Rattus norvegicus: one gene and its partners. The protein of the gene in region 3 purifies or fractionates together with the protein of the main gene of each other region. This does not show direct contact. Links are inferred from orthologs where the notes say so. Each region holds a gene or a part of one and is shown on either strand. Other genes may lie near its edges. The genes, in order: Aptx, Tdp1 and Lig3.

Region 1 (7,729 bases), on a different chromosome or scaffold from region 3:
AGAAGCTGCTATTAAAAGAGACCAGAAAGTCCAAAAGACAATTCAACAGGTCTCCGACAGGAGCTGATATGAAGATAAGCTGTTCATCTAAGATCCTAAACCCAGGCCCAGTGGTGATCCCAGGCAGATCCCATTTAGAATGCTATGTTCCATGGGGCATCCATTGGACCTGCTACAAACTGATGGATAGGCAGGTAAGACAGGAAAGTGAGGCGTCCTCACTGGGTACTGAGAAACAAGTCTTCTGACTGACAAAGAAGCCAGTGGACAGTGCAGCTTCTGAGTAGGAGGAGAGGATTCGATGAACAGCGAGGAACATGGCGAGACAATGGAAACAGCACTCCCTTCTGCCACAAATACAGACACATTCCCTGAAGTTGTCAAGTTGTGATGTTCAGATGCGCTGCTCCCTGGAAAGCCGATGCGGTTACTGCACAATGCTCACGACAAACCTTAAACAGCAGGTTGGCCCATTTGAGCCTCCAGACCCAATTTGTAGGAATTAATAACTGTAGAATAAAAGAACACAGAAGGCTGGTTGTTCCTGAACCTTACCCAGACCCTCCAGTAAAATTCCATAAACTATACGCAAGCATCATGACAGCAGATATCATGCCTACCTTAGCACTGTAATTTCCAGCATTTACCCCTTACCATATAACGAGCCTACAAAAATCAGCAAGCTGTCAATCAATGTTGGCAGATAACTGATCAGATGATAACTCTACCAAAGTTCTCAAGGTTTTCCACCTTCTCTTTACTTCCTTGAGACAGGATCTCACCATGTACCTCGGGCAGGCCTAGAACTTGTTATAAAGACCAGGATGGTTTTAAACTCACAGAGATCCACCTGTCTCTGCCTCCCGAGTGCGTGAGATGAAAGGGGTGCACAAACACACCCAGGTGGGTTCCTCATCTTAAAGTAGAATGCCCCAAAACAGGAGTTCATTGTACCATTCCCTCTCCCTTCTGCAATGACCCATTTGCTGACTACACCACTGGTCATTACTCCCCGATTAATTATGGTTTGCTTGTTTGTTTGTTTTTCTTTTTCCAGACAGGGTTTCTCTGTGTAGCCTTAGCTGTCCTGGAACTAGCTCTGTAGGTAAGGCTGTTCTCGAACTCAGAGATTCATCTGCCTCTGCCTCCTGCTGGGATTAAAGTCATGTACCACCACCACCGCCCTAGGAATCTTAGTTAGGGTTTCCATTGCTATGGAGACCCCATGACCAAACCAACTCTTATAAGGACAACATTTAATTAGGACTGGCTTACAGGTTCAGAGGTCAGCCCATTATTATCAAGATGGGAACACGGCAGCATCCAGGAAGACATAGAGCATTTCACCTCTTGTTCTGAAGGCAGCTAGGAGAAGACTGGCTTCCAGGCAGCTAGGACAAGGGTCTTAAAGCCCACCCCACAGTGACACACCTACTCCAACAAGGCCACACCTCCTACTAGTGCCACTCCCTGGGCCAAGCACAGACAAACCATCGCATTAGGGAACCCAAATGATCTTGGCAAGTGGCGTGCGGCCTGAAATCTATCTTGAAGCACTGTTAGCACTGAGCTTCTGAAGGGCCACTAGCACAAGTATGGAGCTGAATTTCCAATTAATTTAAGCACAAGTGACTGTGGAGACTTGAATTTAAGACTGTCAGCCTCTAATTCCTCAGAGGTTACTTATTTCACAGAACTGGCCCCAGTGGCCATCCTTCTCACTCTTCCCTCCCCAGACATACACGCGGGCACCTTTACACACACAGACATCATCATTCTAAGCATGGTATTCTGATGTTGACTTATCCTTCTCTCCTTCCTAGAGACCCAAATCTTAGATTTCAGGTCCCATCTCCTTGGAGGCCAATGGAGTTGTCATCTTCTCACAGCCTTAGGAACGAACTCCCCTCTGTATCCCCATTCGAGAAACATGGAAGAAAAGTCTTGGAAGACTGCTGCTGGCCTGCTCTTGTATCCCAGGATCCCAGGTGTTCAGCATAACCTATTAAGAACATACTACATGGGGGGCGAGAGGGGGGGAGGGCTGGGGAGATGGCTGAGTGGTTAAGAGCACTGACTGCCTTCCAGAGGAGCCAGGTTCAATTCCCAGCACCCACACGGCAGCTCACAACTGTCTATAGCTCCAGTTCCAAGAGGATCCAACACCCTCTTCTTGCCCCCCATGACCACTGCATGCACATGGTACATGCAGGCAGGCAAAACACTCATACACAAAATAAAAATGTAAAAAAAAAAAAATTAAGACATTCTACACAGTGGGTACTATGCTAAATGTCTCATTTACAAGGTCTCACCTTCACTATGGAAAATTAAGGCACAGACAAGTAAGTACCGTGTCAAGCAACCAAGACTCTGTGCCAGAGTTAGAATTTCAACTCTTTCCAAAGAATGGGTTCTTTTTTTTTTCTTTTTTTTTTCTTTTTTTTTTCTTTTCTTTTTTTTTTCCGGAGCTGGGGACCAAACCCAGGGCCTTGCGCTTGCTAGGCAAGCGCTCTACCACTGAGCTAAATCCCCAACCCCCAAAGAATGGGTTCTTAACTACTACACGATACTGTTTGGGGGCTCACTCACTCAATCTCAATCAAGATTTTTTCATGCCTACTATGTGCTTCATGCTATTCTAGCACTGGGAGTCAAGAGCTAATGCATATGTCCTCCTTTCAAAAGCCTCCAATCTCACAGAAGACCCAGAAATAATTATAATCAGTGGGGTATGATTTGCCTGTAGAAAGAGTATTATAGAAATACAAACCCTTAGTACCCTGTGAAGGAAAGTTTTCTGGAGATGGGATGGGCTTATAAACTTGATTAATTTGGTAGGAGTAGGCAGCCTATCTGAGCAACAAGAACCAGAAACTGGGATTAGGAAGACAATTTCTAGGCAAAGAGAACAACAAAGGCAAACACAGGAAGACATGGCACAGTGCATGGAGAAGCATTAAGTGATAGTGGAACCTAAAACTGAAGGCAGAAGGGACCAGAGACCCCAACAAGCTCCAGATAAAGCCCCATGTGACTGGCTGACAGCTGAAAAATTGTACGTTTCAATAGATTTTGAAATTCAGCAGTCAGTGAATGCTTGCTTAAAGAATAGGAGGTGTGGGGACGACATATCAGCAAACAAGTCACTAACAACCAAGCAGGAATTGGACAAAGATTTCCTTACAAAGATCATCTTGGAAAAAAAAAGTATAAAAACCAAATATGCATTTCTTTCCCACATAAACAATTCTGTAAAAAGATTTCTATGACAGAGGTCTGCAGTCTCAGTATTAAGGAGGCACAGGCAGGATATCCAGAAGTTTGAGGTCATACTACTCTACATACTGTAAACCATCTTGAAAAAAAAAAAAATGTACAAGGCCTGTATCCCATCACTGGGAGGTAGGGACAAGGGGATCAGGAATTTGAGGCCAGCTGGGCTAGTGGGGATGCTGGGACTCTTACGAAATCCCCAATACATATCGACTCCTCCAAAGTATTCTCCATCAATTCCAAATAGATGTAATTTCAAAAGCCCCAGCTTTGTTGAATCAGTCTCTGCACTATATGAAAAAGGCCTTACTGCTTCCGGCATTATTAAGGCCCGCTGAGGACACTGCTAGGGCGCCTCAAGTTACTCTTGGAAGGCGTTTCTGGCAGAAACAGAACAGCCCCGTTGGCACGGACAGTGTCCACTGTTTATCTATAAATCTTTTCAAGCAGATCTTGCAGCCAACTAGGTACAAGAGTCGGATGGGGATGGGGGGCGGGGAGTCAGAGAGGTCGGAACAATGAGGCGGAAACCAAAACTCTGAAACACGCCCACCTGAACAGGACGAAAGGGTGGGGCTTGGTCCACCCAGAAGGAAACCTCGAACTCCACCTTCAAGGTATCCGCTCCGGGTTAGCAGCCCCGGCCAAACGCCCCTGCTGGCTTCTAACCCAACCAGCTACGAAAGCAGGCCGACCACTAGCTTACCTCGACTGCACACTTACAAACCTCCACGCTACTCCGCTGCGCCTCGCCGCTTCCGGTGCTGAAAGATGATGTCACAAACTGCTGCCTAGCAACTGGTGATGATTTCAGAGTTTTTTCCAGAATTGGCCGAAACGTTCTCTTGCCGGATACCCTGGTCGAAAAGTGGTCGTAGCAGCTAGTTGTTTCCCGTGAAGATAACTCCTTTGCCTTCTCTGAGGCATCTAGCTGTCATAGCCTCCCAGGGTCTGAATCCGGAGAGATTTCAGACAGCAATCTCCTGTGGCTTTTCTATGCAGCCAAGTCGTCTCTTAGCACTTCCTCCTCAGGAAGCTTGCTATATGTTAAAGCCATCTTTGAAAGGGAAGGAACGAGGTTGGAGGTAGTGAGACAAATTCATTCTGTAGCCCAAATTGGCCTTGAACTCGCCAGAATCTCCTCTTGCCTTAGATTCCCCAGTGCTAGGATTGCAGGTGCGAGCTACCAAACACAGCTTTGAAGCCATCGGTTAAGCTACAAGCTGGAGTGCTTTACCAACCACTCACGTTCAAATTACACTTTCCTTCTCTAAGGAGAAAAAGACTAAAGAGAGAGACAGAGGAACCCTGCTAAGATTTTTTTTTATGATGTCTTCACTAAATTAACTGAGGGCAATCAGCAAGGCAGGAGGTTGGGATGACATATTTGTACTGATTTTTATTGCAATTCCAGGACGTTCCCTAAAAGTCTTGTATTGTAAATCACCAAAGACTTCTTGGCAGATGAAAGAATTCCTATCTCGTGAGTACATCAGAGTGTAGAATCTGAAACGCAGTAGAAACTGAACCTTTCAGAGTCTTTTTTTTTTGGGGGGGGGGTTGTTTAGAAAACAAGGTTTCACTGTACCCTAGGCTAATCTCAAACTCAAGATTCCCCTTTCCCCTACCTCTGAAATACTAGGATAACAGGCTTTCACCCCCATTCTCAGCTAGGAGCTCTTTTGTTTCTTGGTCAGATGGGTTGCTATTGTTTCCTTCCGTGGAAAAGCGGGCTCCACTAGTCTAATAGAGCTGACAAGACAGGATGGGAGGATGTTCCTGGGAACAAGAGAAAGATGTGCTTTTGTTGGCAGAGAAGATGCGGGTGTATGTTAGGATCAGAGCGGGAAGGGAGGAGGCATCAAAAGCTGTGCAAGCCTCAAGGCTGAGAACTCGGTCCACAACTGCTTAAGATACGGAGGCAGATCTGGTGACCTGACAGTTTACATTTTCCCTCAGGATTAAACATCTTAGCCAAGGCTTCTACGCAGATTCCATTGTGTCTCTTACAGCTAAAAATTAAACCGGGTCATTTGTACAAAATTGGTCAGGGTTTTCATAGGCACTGTATTAGGTCTAATCCATTGTCTGCAGTGCACTGACCAGAAAAACAAGGTTGTCTAGAACAATCCATGGTTAAGGGTAGGCACTTAAGACAATCATTGGGGTTCACATTGTTTGGGGACTAAGCTCCCTGTTTCAGCTTCTCTATGAATTAAACAACTACTAATTTTTGTCTTCCACTATTCTTCTCTTAACTTCCATGGGTTTGACCAGCCTGGAAATAACATTTAAATGAAATCATGAAGTATTGGTTTTTGTAATTAATTTATTTCACTTAGCTTGGTGTCAAGTTTCATCTACAATGTGGCACACGTCAAAAGTTCCTTTTTAAGGCTAATGTTTTTCTTTGGGTTTTATTTTAAATATTCTTTCTTTTTTAATTTATTGATTTTTTTAATGTGTATGGGTGTTTTGCATGCATGTATGTCTGTACACCATGTGTGTACCTGGTGTCTGAGGAGGCCAGCAGAAGGCAGATTCCCTGGAACTGTAGTTATAAGAGACTGTGAGTTGGGAATAGAACCCAGATCTTCTGAAGGAGTAACCAGTGTTCCTACTGACCCATCTAGCCAACCCAACACACATATTATTCTTTCTCATTTTCCTTTTTCCTCCATTTCTTAAAGACAGTGTCAAGGCCTTAAAAGATGGCCTTAAATTTCTGATCCTCCTGCTTCAGTTTGTTGCTGATGTTGTTGTTGTTGTTGTTGTTGTTGTTGTTGTTGTTGTGAGACAGGGCCTCACTATACCTCTGGCTGTCCAGAAACTTTTTATGTAGACCAAACTGGCCTTGAACTCACAAAATAAATTCTGCCTCTTGAGTACTGGGATTAAAGGCAAGCACCACTAAACCCAATTTTGCTTTTGTTTTCCCAAGTGCTGGGACTGTTGGGTTGTTCCTGTCTTTTGACTTTTGTGAATAATGCTACGTTTATGAGCATGGATATTCAAAACATCAAGATCTGCTTTCAGATACTTTGGAAAGCAGGATTGTTGTGTCACATAGTGTGTGTGAGTGTGTGTGTGTGTGTGTGTGTGTGTGTGTGTTCTGAGCAAGTGAAGTGTGTAGGCCAGAAGACTATATATATTAAATGTTGCCCTCACTCCCCACCTTAATTTTTGTTTTGTTTTGTTTCTTTTTGGGTTGGGACTGTTTGTTGTTTGTTTGTTTGTTTGTTTGATTTCTGATACAGGATTTCTTTGTGTAGCCTCGGCTGTCCTGGAACTCTTTGTAGTAGAACAGACTAGCCTCAAACTCACAGAGATCTGCCTGCCTCTACCGTGAATAGAGGGCAGTGACCATGCCAGGCATCCATCTTAATTTTTAAAATGGTGTCTCTCGTTGAACGTTGAGCTCACCAGTTAGGTTAGATTAGCCCATAAGCTCCAGAAGCATCCTGTCTGCCTCGCAGCACTGGGGTCGTAGGCATCGGCTAGTACATTGGGCTCTTTTACACGGGTGCTGGGGACCTAAACTTAGGTGATGGGCCCTCTGGGACAAGCACTTTCCCAACTGAGCCATCTCCCAGCCAGGGCCGTTTTATTTTTAATACTTTGAAAACAGTCACAATGCTTTCCATGTCAGCTGCATGGCTTTACATTCCCCTAACAGTGCCCAGACACAGTTTCTCTGTGCGCTTGCCAACACTTTGTTATCTGTGGCTGGTTTTGTGGTTGAAAGCAGCCACCCACAACGGTTTCTGATTTACAATTCCCTGATGACTAGGGATGGTGCTCATTTTATGTGATTATTTTTTTCCAGTTGTGCATCTTCTTTGGAGAAATGTCCAAACCTTTTGGCTATCTTAAGGTCGACTTCCTGGTATTCGTGTCGTGTTGTTGGAGTTGGGGTGGGGGAGCTTGGTGATATATAGCTCAGCGGTAGAGCATTTGCCGAGAACATGTGAAGCCCTAGGTTCAAGCCACAGCACCAACAAGGACCTGGAGGGCTTTTCCCTGCCCTAAGTGTGGCCCTGGGCTTCAGCTGGCCAGCATTCCTGCCTGTTTCTCAGGCCCCCTTTTCAGTTTGTTAGTTGTAACCTTAGATGTACAGGAGCTTAGTGTCTAACTTACCTGCTGTAATCTCGCTGCCTCTGCGTTTATTGTCAAGTCTAAGAAATCACTATGGAATATGCTGTGAAGTTCTATGTTCCCTTCCATGGACTTTGGCTCAGTTTGCGTTTGTTTTTATACTGCAGAAAGCGGAATTCCTGCATCTTTTCTGTGATTATCATGTTCCCGACACCATTTGCTGAAAAGACTGTTCTCTCATTGTTGGTCCTGTCACCCTTTTTAGAAACGCACTCGATCGTGCATATAAGGCTTTATTTCTAGGTTCTGGTCTGTGTCCTTTATGTAGGTGTGTCTGTTTGCCTGCTCCAGAATCACA
Region 2 (7,134 bases), on a different chromosome or scaffold from region 3:
ATGTACACCAGCCTAGCTGACACACAAACACGTGTACACTAGTCTAGCTGACACACAAACACATGTACACTAGTCTAGCTGACACACAAGCATGTGTACACCAGGCTGGCTGACACAGGCACGTGTACACCAGGCTAGCCGGCACACAAGCATCTGGAGAGTGTCCTGTCCCCACCTCCCGTCCTGCCATAGGAGCACTAGGACTATGGTTGTAAGTCACCTTGCCTGGTGTTACCTGGATTCTGAAGATCCAGAGGGAGGTCCTCACACTTGGACAAGTTCAGTAACCGTTATGTCCTCTCCCCAGCCCCACTGAGCCATTTCACCAGCTGAAGGGTTTGTTTTTTAAGAAGAATTTTTAGGGATGTGTCCAACTCAAATTCAGCTACCTCTCTCCTCCTTGGTTAAGAGCTTTACTTGTTTTTCTTTCATTGAAGCCATTTCTGTATATCCCTGCCTTCCTGGGAGAGCACTGGCTAAGGCCTTCTCCCTCGTAGAACATGCAGGCATTGCATAGCTCCATTGCAGGTTCCCAGTGTGCTTTGCTGCTGCTCTCCCTGCTCTCATCTCCAGTGTCGCCTACACAGGCTCACTCTGACAAGCTCCTGAGCCTCACCACCCCACGGGTGAGCTGAAGTGAGGGACCTTCCAGCTCGTCCTCTGGGCCTGCTTTGACTTAGTGTGGGTTCAAAGTTTCCCGTTCCTCCCTCTTAAGCCATGCTTCTCAGGATAGTGCCAGTCCGACTCCTGCAGCATCAAAGGGGTCTCTGCCCTGTCTCTTAGAAGCCTTGGCCACAGGACTTGCGCCACCACATCCCCTCAGCTACCCTCCTCCACCCACAACACACACACACACACACACACACACACACACACACACACACCCCTCTGTTTCTTAATTTTAGATAGAATCTTTTGTGTATCTCATGCTGGCTGGGAATTCACTATGTGGCTGTTTAGCCCAAGCTGGTCTTGCTTTACCTTCCAAGTGCTGACTAACAGGATTTTCTTTCTTTCTTTTTTTTTTTTTTTTTTTTTTTTTTTTTTTTTTTTTTTTTTTGGTTCTTTTTTTTTGGAGCCGGGGACCGAACCCAGGGCCCTGCACTTCCTAGGCAAGCGCTCTACCACTGAGCTAAATCCCCAACCCCCAGGACTTTCTTGATCTGCTGAGTCTTTTGTCCATTCTGCCCAGTGCCCAGGGAGATCGCAAGCCCAGACCTCTCTGAGCTGCCGACTGAGCCTGGGGAATCAATCCTACTTAGCCTTGTCTGAAAAGGGTGTGGAATTTAGTTAAGTGTGTTCATGGGGAAACAGGGATTATGAAACCAGATTTATAAAGGTGACCCCCCAGTCGCAGGTGCCTCTCAGAACCTCGCTAGTGCCTACAGCTCGTTCTGGACTTGTGAACTTGAACTTACGGGCAACAGCGCTTCCTGCGGCTTCTCAACTGATGCCATGAGGGAGGGTAGGAGAAGTGGGGGTGTGGCTGGCACTTTATTCCTTTCTTTAAAAAAGAATCTAAAAGCATATTTCCTAGATTGTATAGTTCAAACTCAAAGTAGATAGGAAATTTCCCTCCATCTTGCCTCTGCCGGGCACCTTCATACAAAGCCTGTTGCCCTCTGCTTGTCTGCTCTTGATTCTGATACTTTGCAGTTTCACACTGAGGTTAAAGAAACAGCAGAAAAACCCTGAAACCCTAAAGATGGCTGAATAGTAGAGAGCGCCTGCTACTCACTCTTCTTGCAGAAGACCTAGGTCTGGTTCCCAGCTCCCGTAGATGTCTCACACCATCTGAATTCTCTTGCCAGTTCCAGGGGATCCAACATCCTCCCTGGCCTTTGTAGGTACCTGCACACACGGTGCACATACACACATGCAAATGCTCAGAGACATGAAATTTTTAAAAATCTTTAAAAGAAAAAAACCTTTACAGACACTCATTGCAGTCCCCCTTGGTGGTTTGCCTTAGCCGTGCTTGCCCCTCCGGTGTCGGTGTTCAGCTGTCCATCTCAGCTGTGACTTGAACCCTTGTCACAGCTGCTGGGGTCGAGAGTTGCAGCAGCAGTTAAGAGCACTTGCTGCTCTTGCAGAAGTGCCAGATTGGCATATCCTAGCAGCCACCTCAGGCAGTTCACGACTGTCTGAAAGTCCAGGTCCACGGGATCGGATGTCCTCCGCTGTCCTCTGGGCACCCGTATGCATGTGGTACACATACCTATATTCAGGTGCACACACACTTCAAACTAATAAATGTACGTTCCACATTATTCATCCCACCGTAGTGTTCTCATATCTCTTCACAAAGTATTAAAACGTGCCTCCTATCTTAGTAGTCTAGTTAGGAAGTTATTTCCCATCATGGTTTTTATCCAAAACATACCCGTAGTGAGCCATTTGCTCTTTGGCTCTGAGGGATCGATGGGAGGATACCTCACACATCTAGCCTAGCTGGTCACTTTCCTGGCAAAGAAAGTTCCAGAAAAGTCTGACTTCAATGGCAAAACCAGCTAGACACAGATGTGGTCCAGATGTGGGCTCCCACCTTAGGCAGACCTGTCTGTCCTATACTAAGTTCCTCCTGAGATAAGCAGGGGTGAATGAAATGTCACTCTGTGGGGAAGGCATAGGCTTCAGATGTACAGCCAAGCGTTCACATTCAGCCACCTAGCATCCTAGTAGCCCAAAGCTCATCAGCATCCACGGAGAGCAGCTGTGTGAAAGAAGAATCAGGCCATTTCTGTTTGGTGTTGGTGGGAAGAACTACTGGGGAATTAGCTATGGAAGTGAAAGACAGTGACAGCAAATACAGTCTGGGGCCTGACACAACCAACCATTGCCTCTTACAGGTCCTGGCGACAGCCCTTTGAGGCTGAACTCTTAATCTGGTTTCGCCCTAGAAGAACCTTTAGTCCTAGAGGCTCAAAAACCACAGTGTTTTTGTAATCTATCTGTGTCATACTGTATTGTATCTTTTGGGTTTAAACATGGTTATTTCCAATTTGTGGGTATGTTGTCGAAGTTAGGGCAAATGCATTGTTTCTTTGGGGAAAGGAATTGATCAGAAGGAAGATGTAACGTTTCATCACTGTTACAGCTTAACCTTTTGAGGCTGATGTTAAATGTGTTACATGTTCCAGGCATCAGAAAGTACAGGGTATGGAAATATCTTAAACCACTACAGAGTGTTCACTATAAAAAAAGTTTTCTTACTTAAAATAAACTTGCATATATATTTTTCTTGGTATAGATAGCTTTTGATTCTTAATTTGGCTGAAGCACTACACTGATAAGGACATGGTTTTACATAAAGAGACAGCATTCAGAAATAATTCTATGATGGGGGTATTGGATCACTGTGATCAGATCTGGTTCCTCCCGCCAGAAACCACTCCGTCACCACTTAAAGACAGTGACAAGAATTTACCTCTTGCTTTGGGTGAATGCATAATCAGTACAGGGGTGGTGTTGCAATCAGAGCTCCTGAGTGTTAACTTTTTTCCCATTCCAGAATATGGTTGAGCCCTTTGTACCCACGAATTTACCAGGGAAACCACACATCCGGAGAGTCAAGCACCCATTTCAAAGCGGACCTCACCAGTTATTTGATGGCGTATAATGCCCCCCCTCTCCAGGAATGGATAGACATCATCCAAGAACACGATCTCTCTGAAACCAAGTATGTGTCTCCTTCCAGTACGGGATCGAAAAGGGACTCCTGGCTTGCAAGCTACACAAGCCTGGAAGACAGAGAGAGGCCTTGGGAAGGAAGGGGTGGGGTGATATTTGTGCTGCAAGAGAGGGTGAGGGGGTGAGAGCAAATCTGTTCACACTGTGTCTCATGGTTCCTGGGCATCAAGGTGGTAGTGGGCCTTACGCTCCCACTGGGGAGATTGTCGAGTCACTGGATTCTTCACCGGGAACCTTACTGCTAGTGTCCCGCTCTTAACTGGTTTAGCTAAAAATAAACTTCAGAGTAACAGTCACTGTGCAGGAGGCCTGCCCCAACAGTGACTTGGCTTCTTGACCTCTTCTGTTATGTTAGTTTTTATGTGAATTGTGGGTTTGGGGTGTCAAAGCACAACTTGCATATTATTTACTGTATCTTACTTTATTTAGTGTTTACCTTATTGGTTCAACCCCTGGACGCTTTCAAGGAAGTCACAAAGATAATTGGGGACATTTTAGACTTAGAAAGGTAATAAAACTTTTAGTATTTTAACATTTAAAATAATTTAATGTGTATTCTTTCTCCCTTTTAATTTATGATGGATCCCCACCCCAGATTCAAATCTCAACCTGTGATATACAAGCCTTGTGGTCTTGACTTGTTCTTCAGCCTCCCTCTTGTCATCTGTAAAATGGACAGAATTGCATCTGGTAGTGATGTAAAATAGAGTGTTCTGGAAGCAGGGGAACGTGTGGACTAATGGTGTCCAGCCTAGATAATAGAATGCATTTGCGTAACCACAAATCCTGCACGTTCAGCAGGATCTGCAGTTTTCAAGCCACGTAACACAGGGCTTTTGTCAGATCTCAGCATTTCTCAGGAGCTGAGCCCACAGTAGAGACTGGGTCTGAGAGCTGTCAGTTTACTTCTGTTTCCTACAGCACGATGCAGCTGGTGGAAATTGTGAAATTTGTGCATGTGTGCCTGTGTGTAAATATTAAGGCCTAAGCTGTGGGAAAGAAGGCAATGCCTACCAAAGTGGAAATAGCCTCAGTGAGACTGAGTTCCACTGGGGCAGGGGCTGCCGCATTCCTCTCGCTGTGCATGCCTAAGTGAGTAAAATACTTTCCAAATACTACTGTTATTTCTCAGTTTGCCTAAGTGTCGAGGCAGGAAATGGGGATCAACCTTCTGCAGTGCTTTAGGGGCTCATTTCCATATGTAAATATCCCGTCCATATTAGGCAGGCACTCTGGAGGCCAGGGATTTTGTCTTTACTCCCCCTGCTTCCTTGAGCCCTTGCACATGCTAGGCTCCTGCCTTCCGCTGTGAGGGCACGCCCCAGCCCTGGAGTGCATGCCATGCTGAGGGATATGCTTCTCTCAGAAGGAACGAGCCAGAACCACAGTGGTTTCGTCGTGCTGGTTTACTTTATGGATATTAGATGATTATGATTTCAGGGTGGGTTCATCTTGATATTTCTGCCAAGATAGGTCTTTTAAAGTGATTTATTCTGCTTTTGTATGTAATGCAAATCAATTACTTTTAGAAAGAGACTTTTCCTGTCCACATAGTGGGTTTAAAAAAAACAAACAAACAAACATATTTTTAGTATTTAAAAAACCGTTTTCAAAGAAGAAAGACCATTTCTGCAGACATGATGTGGATGGCTAGTACTTCCAGGGTTTCCTCGTAAGCTCGGCGCCCGAGGGCGCAGCCCGTGTTGTAGGCGTTTCAGTTATCCCTGTCCACACTCTGACTGCTGTCCTTGCCTTTCTTCCGGAGCAGCTTCTGCAGGCGCATGCGCCATCTGCACCCAGGGGCGAGTGCTGGCCCGTCGTGGGTCAGTTTTCAAGCATTGGCTCCCTGGGGCCTGATGAATCCAAGTGGTTGTGCTCAGAGTTTAAAGAGAGCTTGCTGGCAGTGAGAGAGGAAGGCCGGACCCCGGGCAGAAGCGCAGTTCCTCTTCATCTGGTGAGCCCTCTTGCTCCAAGACAGTCTTCCCTGTCATAGACCATAGCGGGTGACGGTGCGGGGGATGGCCCCTCAAACAGCCACAGACTTGCTTTTCCATTCTTTCTTCCCAGTCGTTAAGCTAAGGTAAGAACCACTAGGTCCACCACTGCAGCTGACGAAGCTCTGTCAATTATGTCGAGATGATTGATTTTACATTTAATTTGATATTAATGCGGCAAGTCAGAGGAAAAACACTTAAAGTGTAATTTCTCATCAGTTATTTATATTCTCCCAGGAGCTTAGTTACCAGTTTAGTTGTTTTTTTTTTTTTCAGTAAGATGGGGATTTTCTTTTAAGATATGATTCCTAAGTATTTTGGTTTAACATCTTTCATTAAAATTTCCATTTTCTTAAAAGCTAGTCAACATTTCTTTCTTTCAACATGATTCACACCAAGTTTTCTTGTTTTTGTCTTTTCTTGCTTATTTTTAGATCTATCCCTCTGTGGAAAATGTGCGGACCAGCTTAGAAGGATATCCTGGTAACTGCTTGGGGACTTAGTTGTGGTTCTCTGTATATTCCCAACATGCCTTGGGGCGTGTTTTGTTTTGTTTTGTTGTTGTTTTGTGTTGTGTTCACCCGAATGGTTAGAAATGTAGAGTGGTTTTCTATTATTCAGGTGAAGCTAATGAAACCAGTATTGTTGGACTCCGCAGGGTTCCAGACATGACAGTTCACAGTTTCTCCCTCATAGCAACCGTATGCAGTCTTTGCCTAAGTTTCACTCCTAAAGTGTCTCGCTTGCCTGTTGTCGAGACAAGATATCCAACTACAGCGAGCTCCTCTGGCCCCAGTGCTGCGTCGGCTGCTTGGTAACCTCCTTTGCCTGTGTCTGAGGCCCTACATAGTCCTTCCAAATTTACCTCCTAACACGGGCACACCTCAGGCCTAGCGCTGGTGATTACGATGACCTTCGTGTAGCTCAGTTGCTATGTCAGCCTTCAGGCTTATTTTCTAAAAATCTCTCAACTTTATTCTTCATGTCTCTTCCTACTGCTGAACACGGAACTTTAAACAGAGGCACCCTCCGTAATACCATCAGGTTATTAACAAAGCCCCAGAGAGTGTCCCTCTGGAAGAAACCAAGTCTGATTGGCATTCACTGCCAGCCGGCAGCAGAGTACACTAAATTATGACTAATTTCTCCATTTATTGCTTATGAAATTAGATGTGACCTTGCCAAAAGAGTCTCAATGAAGTTCAGAGTATATTTGCTGTTCGGTGCCTTTTAATGGCAAAATCAAATCATTTCGCTTTGACTCTGGGGCAGGTAGTTTGTCCTTCCTGCACCTCTAATGGGCTGGAGCTATTCGGAGTGCACCACGAGAGAGATGTGCTATTCTCAATGCAGTAATGTTATAAATGGTTCTAAAATAGAATCTGTTTTTAGCTCTTCGCAGTAGGAGACAGAACATACTTTATTGGACGTCAGAGTTGTTTAAAGCCCT
Region 3 (7,134 bases):
ACAAGAAGGAAAAGGGTAAGAGGAGCAGCCTGTAAGTCAGGGAGAGTACAGAGATCGAGTAGTTCTGTTGTAATGAGAAATGGAAGGGGAGCAAGGCCATCAGCTGGATCCTTTAGCTCCAAGGTGGCTCATTCCCCAGTCAGACTGGCTGTCCCTGGTCCCCTGTCATCCGGGTTTGTTGAGTAGATAAGAGGTGCCTGGTAGACCAGTTTCTGGTCCCTAGCTAGTCACATGCTAGGCACACACTACTGTAGTGGACACCCCGTCACAGGACGCTAGAGTTGAAGATACCGGTATGTCTATGCTCTGCCATCTCCGGCCTACCCACCGCTCTCCCCATCACCTCAGGCACCTTTACTTACCACCTCTGCTACTGGGATCATTCAGCTTCTGTTCAGTCTTCTTGGCACTGGCAGAGGACTTACTGGGGGGTCCCTTGGGGCCCTTGCGGGGCACAGTAGACCCAGCAGTGCCCTCATTCTCACCATTGCTGCCTCCAGTAGTGGAGCTCCCCTCATCTCCAGCCACCACAGCGAAGTCTGCCTTGTCTTTGGACAGCTGGTACAGTTCCTAAGAAGTGGGGGAATTGGGTGCTGTCATCTGACCTGACCCGACCTGTGTCTGGTATGAGTGCTGCCTGGCACATGTACCTAAGGAAAAATGTAGGGCCCTGGAATCTGAGTAATTTGGGTACAAGTTACTTTCTGTGGCAAAAGTTTTGTACTTCTTGACTGGCTTTAAACTTAAGATCTCTCTGTCTCAGCCTCTCTGGTGCTCAGAATATAGGCTCAGATAAACCAGGTTTTTTGTTGTTTTGAAGCAGAGTCTCTGTAGCTCTGTCTAGCCTGAAATTAACTATGTAGATTAGGCTGGCTTTGAACTCAGAGAAACTTTTGATTCTGCCTCCTGAGTGCTGGAATCCTAAAGGTGTGCAATAGTACATTCTACCTAAACACAGTTCTTAAAAAAAAAAAAGTGTATGCCTGTCTGTGCACCATGTAAATGTGTAAATGTCTGGTGCCTACAGAGGCCAGAAGAGGGTACTAGATCTCTGGGACTGAAATTACAGTTGTGAGCTGCAGTGTGAGTGCTGGGAATCAAACAGGGGTCCTCTGGAAGAGCAGCCAGAGCTCTAACCGCTGAGCAATCTCTCCAGCCTCTAAACATCAGCTCTTAGTAAAGTCGAACTATGGAAAGCTAGGCTCTTAGGGGACCTGAGGAAGGGGAGCTGGGGGGAGAGGTATTTTAACTGCTCTCCTGGCTTTGTCCCTGTGGGATGGAGATAATAAGCCAAACGACATGTGAACAGGCCAGATGCCCAACACTCTAAGAGCAAGACAGTAGGTTGATGACTTAGAAAGCCAAAGTGCTGGCACCTTGAGTTGGGGGAGGTTAGTGGCAGATTTCCAGTCCTTGTCATCCCGGATTCGGGTGCATCGAGGAAATCGGATGGAGATCCCATCAGCAGTATGCGCCTCAGATCGAGAGAATTCTGCTCCTGTGATCTCCCACACAGCAGCTTTCTGTCAGGAATAAAACAGGTAGATTATCACTGGCCAAGAAGGAAGTCTCCAGCAGACAAAACAGTGTCAAGCAGGTGAAAGCACAGAGGCTCTCAGTGGCTGCCAGGAGGCCTGTGGGCTAGTTATATACCTCCTCTTGAAACCTGTCTGTTAAGTAGGGTCTGGGCTAGGTCTAGCTCTAGAACAGGCCTCTTTTACAAATGGAAAAGGATTTGCTTCCCCTCCACTAGGGACAGACAAGTCCTCAAGGCTGGTTGGTTAGCCCTGTTTCTATCATTTGCTGAATATGCAAGTCCTATCCTGGGTGGACCTTAGCAAAGCTGGACTAACTTCTGTGGTGGGGCCACAAAGCATCAGGCGATAATACCTTTGGGTCTGGGACGATAAAGTCAGGATAGTAGATCTTGTTGATCTTCAGCCAGCTGGGTATCTTGCTAGGATCCTGAAGGAGAAAAGATGCTGTTTTGGGCTCCTGTCGTGCTGGAACAAGGTTTAAACCTTGTCTTTGGCAGTAACACTGTGAAATGACTTAGCTAAAAAGGATGACCTCTCACCCCAAGTGATCTTCCTTCTTCAGGGAGGCTCTGGCCCATCTTCTATAAGACAGGCTCTCTGAGATTTAAAAGCCTAATCCTGCTCCTATAGCCTAGAAGCAAGCTCCTTTCTGAATTCAGAAACGAGACTTGCAGACCTCAGTCCTCAAAGCACAGCCTGTTTCAGGAAGGATGACTTGTCCAGGGCCAGGGTCAACCAGGCACCTTCCTCACCTTGCTAATCTTCACCATATCTAGCTCTTTCTGCAGGCGGGCAAGTGTGGCATCGTCATGGCCTCCAGCACATTTTGTAACAGTGCACCACTTCTGGCTGTCGGGGTCATAGCAGCCCATGAGGAAGATGGACATCATTCCACCTGGGAGGGGAGACATGAATTGAGTGTGGGCTAGAAGGAACCACCTCTGCCAGCCCATGATAGACTGCTTGAAGATGAGTGAGCTAAGGCCTTACCATCAAGAGTATTCGAGTAATCACACTCAACTTACTGGGCTCTGGGGAACTGGACAGTACCTGACACAGAGCAGATACAACCTGACATACTGCCCAAGTGTTCCTCAGACTTCATCTTTCTCCTCAGTCAAGAAACAGATTTTTTTTCTGAGAAGGAAGCTGTTAGGCCTTAAAACAGCTGGTAGTTGAGTTTCTTTGTGTCAGAACTACAGAGGGTATTCTTGACCAACTTTCTTTTATTATTTTTCTTTTTTCTTTCTTTTTTTTTTTAAGATTTATCTGTTATATATAAATACACTGTCACTGTCTTCAGACACACCAGAAGAGGGCATCAGATCCCATTACAGATGGTTGTGAGCCACCATGTGGTTGCTGGGATTTGAACTTAGGACCTCTGGAAGAGCAGTCAGTGTTCTTAACCACTGAGCCATCTCTCCAGCCCTATTTTTCCCTTATTAAAACATTTTTCTTATTCATTTTCTTTCTGAATGTGTATTTTTGTGCAGCCAGTCATAATCCAGTCTTTATACATGCTACAGTGTGCACGTGGGAGTCAGTTCTCTCCTTTTACCAAGGGGATACCAGTGATCAATTTAGGTCTGAAGGCTTGGGACAGGGCTTTGTACCCACTGAGCTCTCATCAGCTTTTCTTACTCCTGTGTGTAAGACTGAAGCTCCCAGACATCTCTGCCTGATGTGACCAGGGCACTAGATCCCAGGACCAAGGAAGCCATAACTGGCAGATCAAGCTAGTAAGAAGACCAGTGTGTGTGTCTTCTGATAGAGTACCACCCCAGGGACCAAGCACCACTAACCTTTGCTCCCTTGCCCATAGAAGGCCCCAAGAACCACCAGATCAGCTGTATCAGCCATGGCCCCCTCGTTCAAATAGTCTTTCTTAACTTTCAGCCAGTGTCGTTTTCCAGGCTCATATGTACCCTGAGGGGACACAACAAATACATCACAAGATAATACAAACTCCATAGAGGGGGTTCATCTTTCACCACTGTGGGCCAATCTCAGTGTTAGGCACTATAGGACATACAAAGCCATTTTCAGATCCAAGACCAGCCAGCCCCAGTTGAGTGGGCAAGACTCCTACATAGCTCTCCCCGTGTCCCACAACCACCGCCTGTCACCTCCAGCAGAAGACGGGTATAGCTACTACCTTACCTTCACATCCTTTAGCACCAAACCTTCCAGGCCCTCTCGGATCACCCGGTTTATCATGTCAGCCAGGTCTGAAGCTTTCTGAGGGTGGTAGGAGAAATGTGCAGGATCACGTAAGAATAGACTGCTCATGTCTATACACTACTGTGTATAACTTGGAGCTGCTGTGGCTTTGAGAGGCAGGCTGCAGACAAATAGGCAACATAGGCAATGGCCAACAGCAAACTTATCAGCACCCCACCAGAGAATACCTAAGGCTCATCCTCTCACACCCCATGGGGCTCTCTGCTCTCTTTTTCTTTTTCTTTTTTTTTTTTTAAGATTTTATTTATTTTTTATGTATGTGAGTACACACCGTTGCTGTCCCATCGGATCCCATTACAGATGGTTGTGAGCCACCATGTGGTTGCTGGGAATTGAACTCAGGACCTCTAGAAGAGCAGTCAGTGCTCTTAACCACTGAGACATCTCTCCACCCTCTGCTCTGTTTTCAAACCACTTAGATCCCTGCCTAGGATAGGAACTTCACTTACTGTGACTTGCTTCATTTCTGAGAACATGATCCGGTTACGGATTTCAACCATGTTATCATGAAGAAACTTCCGTCGCTCACAGAGAGGCCTAAGGGAAACAGCAAAGTTGAGGTAAAGAGCCTCCCTCCCACTCCAAGCAGGGACTCTGACACAAGACAGTGCCCAGTGACAAAACTGTTGCTTCAGGAAAGGGACAGCTATGGATCCAAGTGCCCATATGAACTGTGCTGTCAAGGGTGGCAAGGACTCCATCAGCACTAGAGATAAACAACTATAAGCAGTAGTCCACAGCCAGATTATAGCAGTGCTCTCTTCTCTACTGAGCCAAGAGAACACCAGTCTCCAGCCCAGACTACTTGAACATTGTTGTGCTATCCCTAGCCCCCAGGCTGGCACAGGCCTCGGGATCCTACCCCATCAAGCCTTTTATAACCATGGTTGTAACTATAGAAACAGGATTAGGGAGAATCCAAGTGCACAAGGACAAGTATCAGCTGTGTAGGTCCAAGCTTTTGGAGGTAGCTCACTCTAGACAGCCAGTTCCCCCTAGATGTTTCACGCATGGCATCCCTGAGAAGCTCATAGATAAAAATGCAAAACTCTTAGCCCTATCCCTGTCACTTTCCTAACTGAAGCCTCTACAGGCCCAACTCAGATAAATTTTCAGTGAAGATAAGGATCTCAGTTGAAACATGGTAGCCAGGAGTAAAATCCAATGGTTGATTATATGTTTAATACATGTAAGGCCCTGGATTTCATCCCCAGTACTGCAAAAAAATGAAAAAAAAAAAAAACAAAAAAAAACCCCAAAACAGGTCAAAATACTAGTTAACTCACCTGTCCATCAAGCTGACATCATTAAAGTAGATACAATCAAAAACAAACAGGCAGACATTAGCATCCTGGAAAGCAGCTTTCTGCAGAGAAAATGAGGCAGGGGGCACATGAGGGCACAAGTAAGGGAGCAGCAGGCCATTTGAAAAGCCCCTCGTGAACAGTTCTGTCAGTGCTCTGCAGGCCACAGAGCACTCTGTAAATGGTGCTCACTAAACTTGAGATCCCAAGTGTTTACCAAAGGCCCAAATGTTGAAGACTTGTTCCTAAGGGTGGTGAAGTAGGGGAGGGACATAAGTCATTAGCTCCAAAAGGGATTGTGGGACTGGCCCCTTCTCTCCATGCTTCTCAGTTCATGATGTAAATGACTTTGCTTGCCACATGTTTAGTGATCTAAAGCTATGGCCCCTGTATTCTCTGACTGCAACCTCTAGATACAAAACCCCTCTCCTTTATAGAATGGTTACCTCTGGTATTTTGTTACAGTGATGAAAGAACACATGCCCAATAAAATCCAACTCAAGTCTAAATTGGTTCTCAAATCTCCCCTTTGTCAGACTGACAGCACAAGTTTTGCACATAGGACTCTTAGGGTATACCTTGTGTACTCCCAGGGTCCCAAAGGGCAGTGGTTTGCCTGTGTTGTTATCAATCAGGAGCACTTCAGAGTCCAAGATCATGCTTTGACCCCCAGGAAACGCTTTGGGAATATAGTCCTTAAAGTGGGCCACCTAGAAGCAGAAAGGCAACTTTGGCAAGGCTGACTTGGCAATAAGACCTAAAACTAAGTCACGGTGATCAAGGCTCAAACAGCACAGAGAACCTTGCCATCCCAAGCAATGAGTGAAATGAACAGCTAGGTTGTGTCGGTCTCCCAAAGAGTACCAGGCTATCTGCTTTATTGCCTCTGTCTAGATCCAGAAAATGGTCAGCCCACTGAGTCATTTTCTATGGGTTATACAGAAGGCTTGGAGGAAAAGGAAGAACAGTGAGTTGGTCAGGAAGGACCTGGAGGTAGACAAATATGAGTGGGAAGGAAAGAGACGGGCAGGTGGGGACTAGTGTCCATTACAGAGGATTGGTGTCATCAGGCTGAGGACTGGGATGTGGAAATAGATGGGTTGCAGGGCAGACAAATAAAGCCTTGGGAAGAGCAAGGAATGAGAACAGGCCTTCCCCTAAGTGGGAGCTCTGAAGCCCCTGCTGTCTTCAGAGTATAAGCATGAGGACAGGATTTTTCCTAACAGAGCCAGAGCTCTAATTTCTGATACTCTGTGGGAGAAGTCCCATTATAATTCCAGGTATTTCCTGACAAAAGGTACCAGGAGTGGGGTCTGGAGGGCTTCACAATTCCTCTGCTGAGAGCAGCTGAGTCACTTCCTAAGGTATGGAATAGGATGAGGAAAGACCTGGCTGACCATCCTTACTCCCTTCCATCCCTACTCCCTTCTATTCCCAACTGAGCCCTTCAAGAACTGAAAGGCACAGACTGATGACATATTTAGTGTACAGCCCTTGCCTAGTCTGTTAAACCCTGATTCAATCCACAATATTTGGGAAAGTAAAGAAAGCATATTCTGGAATGCTGTGTTCAAATGTTCCTGGGTCACAAGAGGGATTGTCTAACACCATCCTTATCACAGCAGTTCCTGATCAGTTTCCAGTATACCTGGAACAAGAATCTCATTACAGGACCACTGCTCAGCTCTCTTGCTCAACACATAAGTGCCCAGCCACCTTGTCTCTACTAGACCACACAATACATCCCCCAGTATACTGACTCTGAGAACTAGGAAAGAAGGGAATCCCATTTACTCACAAGCTACTGGAGCCAGCTACTTCGGCTGGTTCTCTTCCACAGACCTCATAGGACTGGCCCTGGAAGCTGAGAAGGGCTGAGGAATGAGGCTCTTAATTCCCATCAGTTCTGAGCACGACAGGGATCAGCATCCCAGACAGCCCCACAATACTGTGCACTTATCAACTCTAAGCCTCATGAAGGTCAGAATTTTTACCTATTGTTTGTACTTGAGTAAGTCTACTAGCTACTACAGTTTACAGCATTTGAG

The links.
Region 1: the proteins of Lig3 (region 3) and Aptx purify together in Homo sapiens (affinity purification with mass spectrometry; 3 studies listed by BioGRID and IntAct, with this or other methods). This does not show direct contact. The link is inferred for Rattus norvegicus from reciprocal best matches to the Homo sapiens genes LIG3 and APTX.
Region 2: the proteins of Lig3 (region 3) and Tdp1 purify together in Homo sapiens (affinity purification with mass spectrometry; 4 studies listed by BioGRID and IntAct, with this or other methods). This does not show direct contact. The link is inferred for Rattus norvegicus from reciprocal best matches to the Homo sapiens genes LIG3 and TDP1.

What each region holds. Positions count from the first base shown.
Region 1 is NC_086023.1:60,614,824-60,622,552, forward strand, and holds the start of Aptx (aprataxin), read right to left. Parts: upstream 3,968-7,729; 5' UTR 3,830-3,967; intron 1-3,829. UniProt on the Homo sapiens protein: DNA-binding protein involved in single-strand DNA break repair, double-strand DNA break repair and base excision repair.
Region 2 is NC_086024.1:124,915,484-124,922,617, forward strand, and holds part of Tdp1 (tyrosyl-DNA phosphodiesterase 1), read left to right. Parts: intron 1-3,511; coding exon 3,512-3,679; intron 3,680-4,119; coding exon 4,120-4,198; intron 4,199-5,458; coding exon 5,459-5,644; intron 5,645-6,118; coding exon 6,119-6,167; intron 6,168-7,134. UniProt on the Homo sapiens protein: DNA repair enzyme that can remove a variety of covalent adducts from DNA through hydrolysis of a 3'-phosphodiester bond, giving rise to DNA with a free 3' phosphate.
Region 3 is NC_086028.1:68,227,418-68,234,551, reverse strand, and holds part of Lig3 (DNA ligase 3), read right to left. Parts: intron 5,797-7,134; coding exon 5,665-5,796; intron 5,149-5,664; coding exon 5,069-5,148; intron 4,320-5,068; coding exon 4,232-4,319; intron 3,883-4,231; coding exon of another isoform or gene 3,808-3,882; exon of another isoform or gene 3,780-3,807; coding exon 3,702-3,779; intron 3,468-3,701; coding exon 3,344-3,467; intron 2,434-3,343; coding exon 2,291-2,433; intron 1,966-2,290; coding exon 1,891-1,965; intron 1,524-1,890; coding exon 1,377-1,523; intron 571-1,376; coding exon 363-570; intron 1-362. UniProt on the Homo sapiens protein: Isoform 3 functions as a heterodimer with DNA-repair protein XRCC1 in the nucleus and can correct defective DNA strand-break repair and sister chromatid exchange following treatment with ionizing radiation and alkylating agents.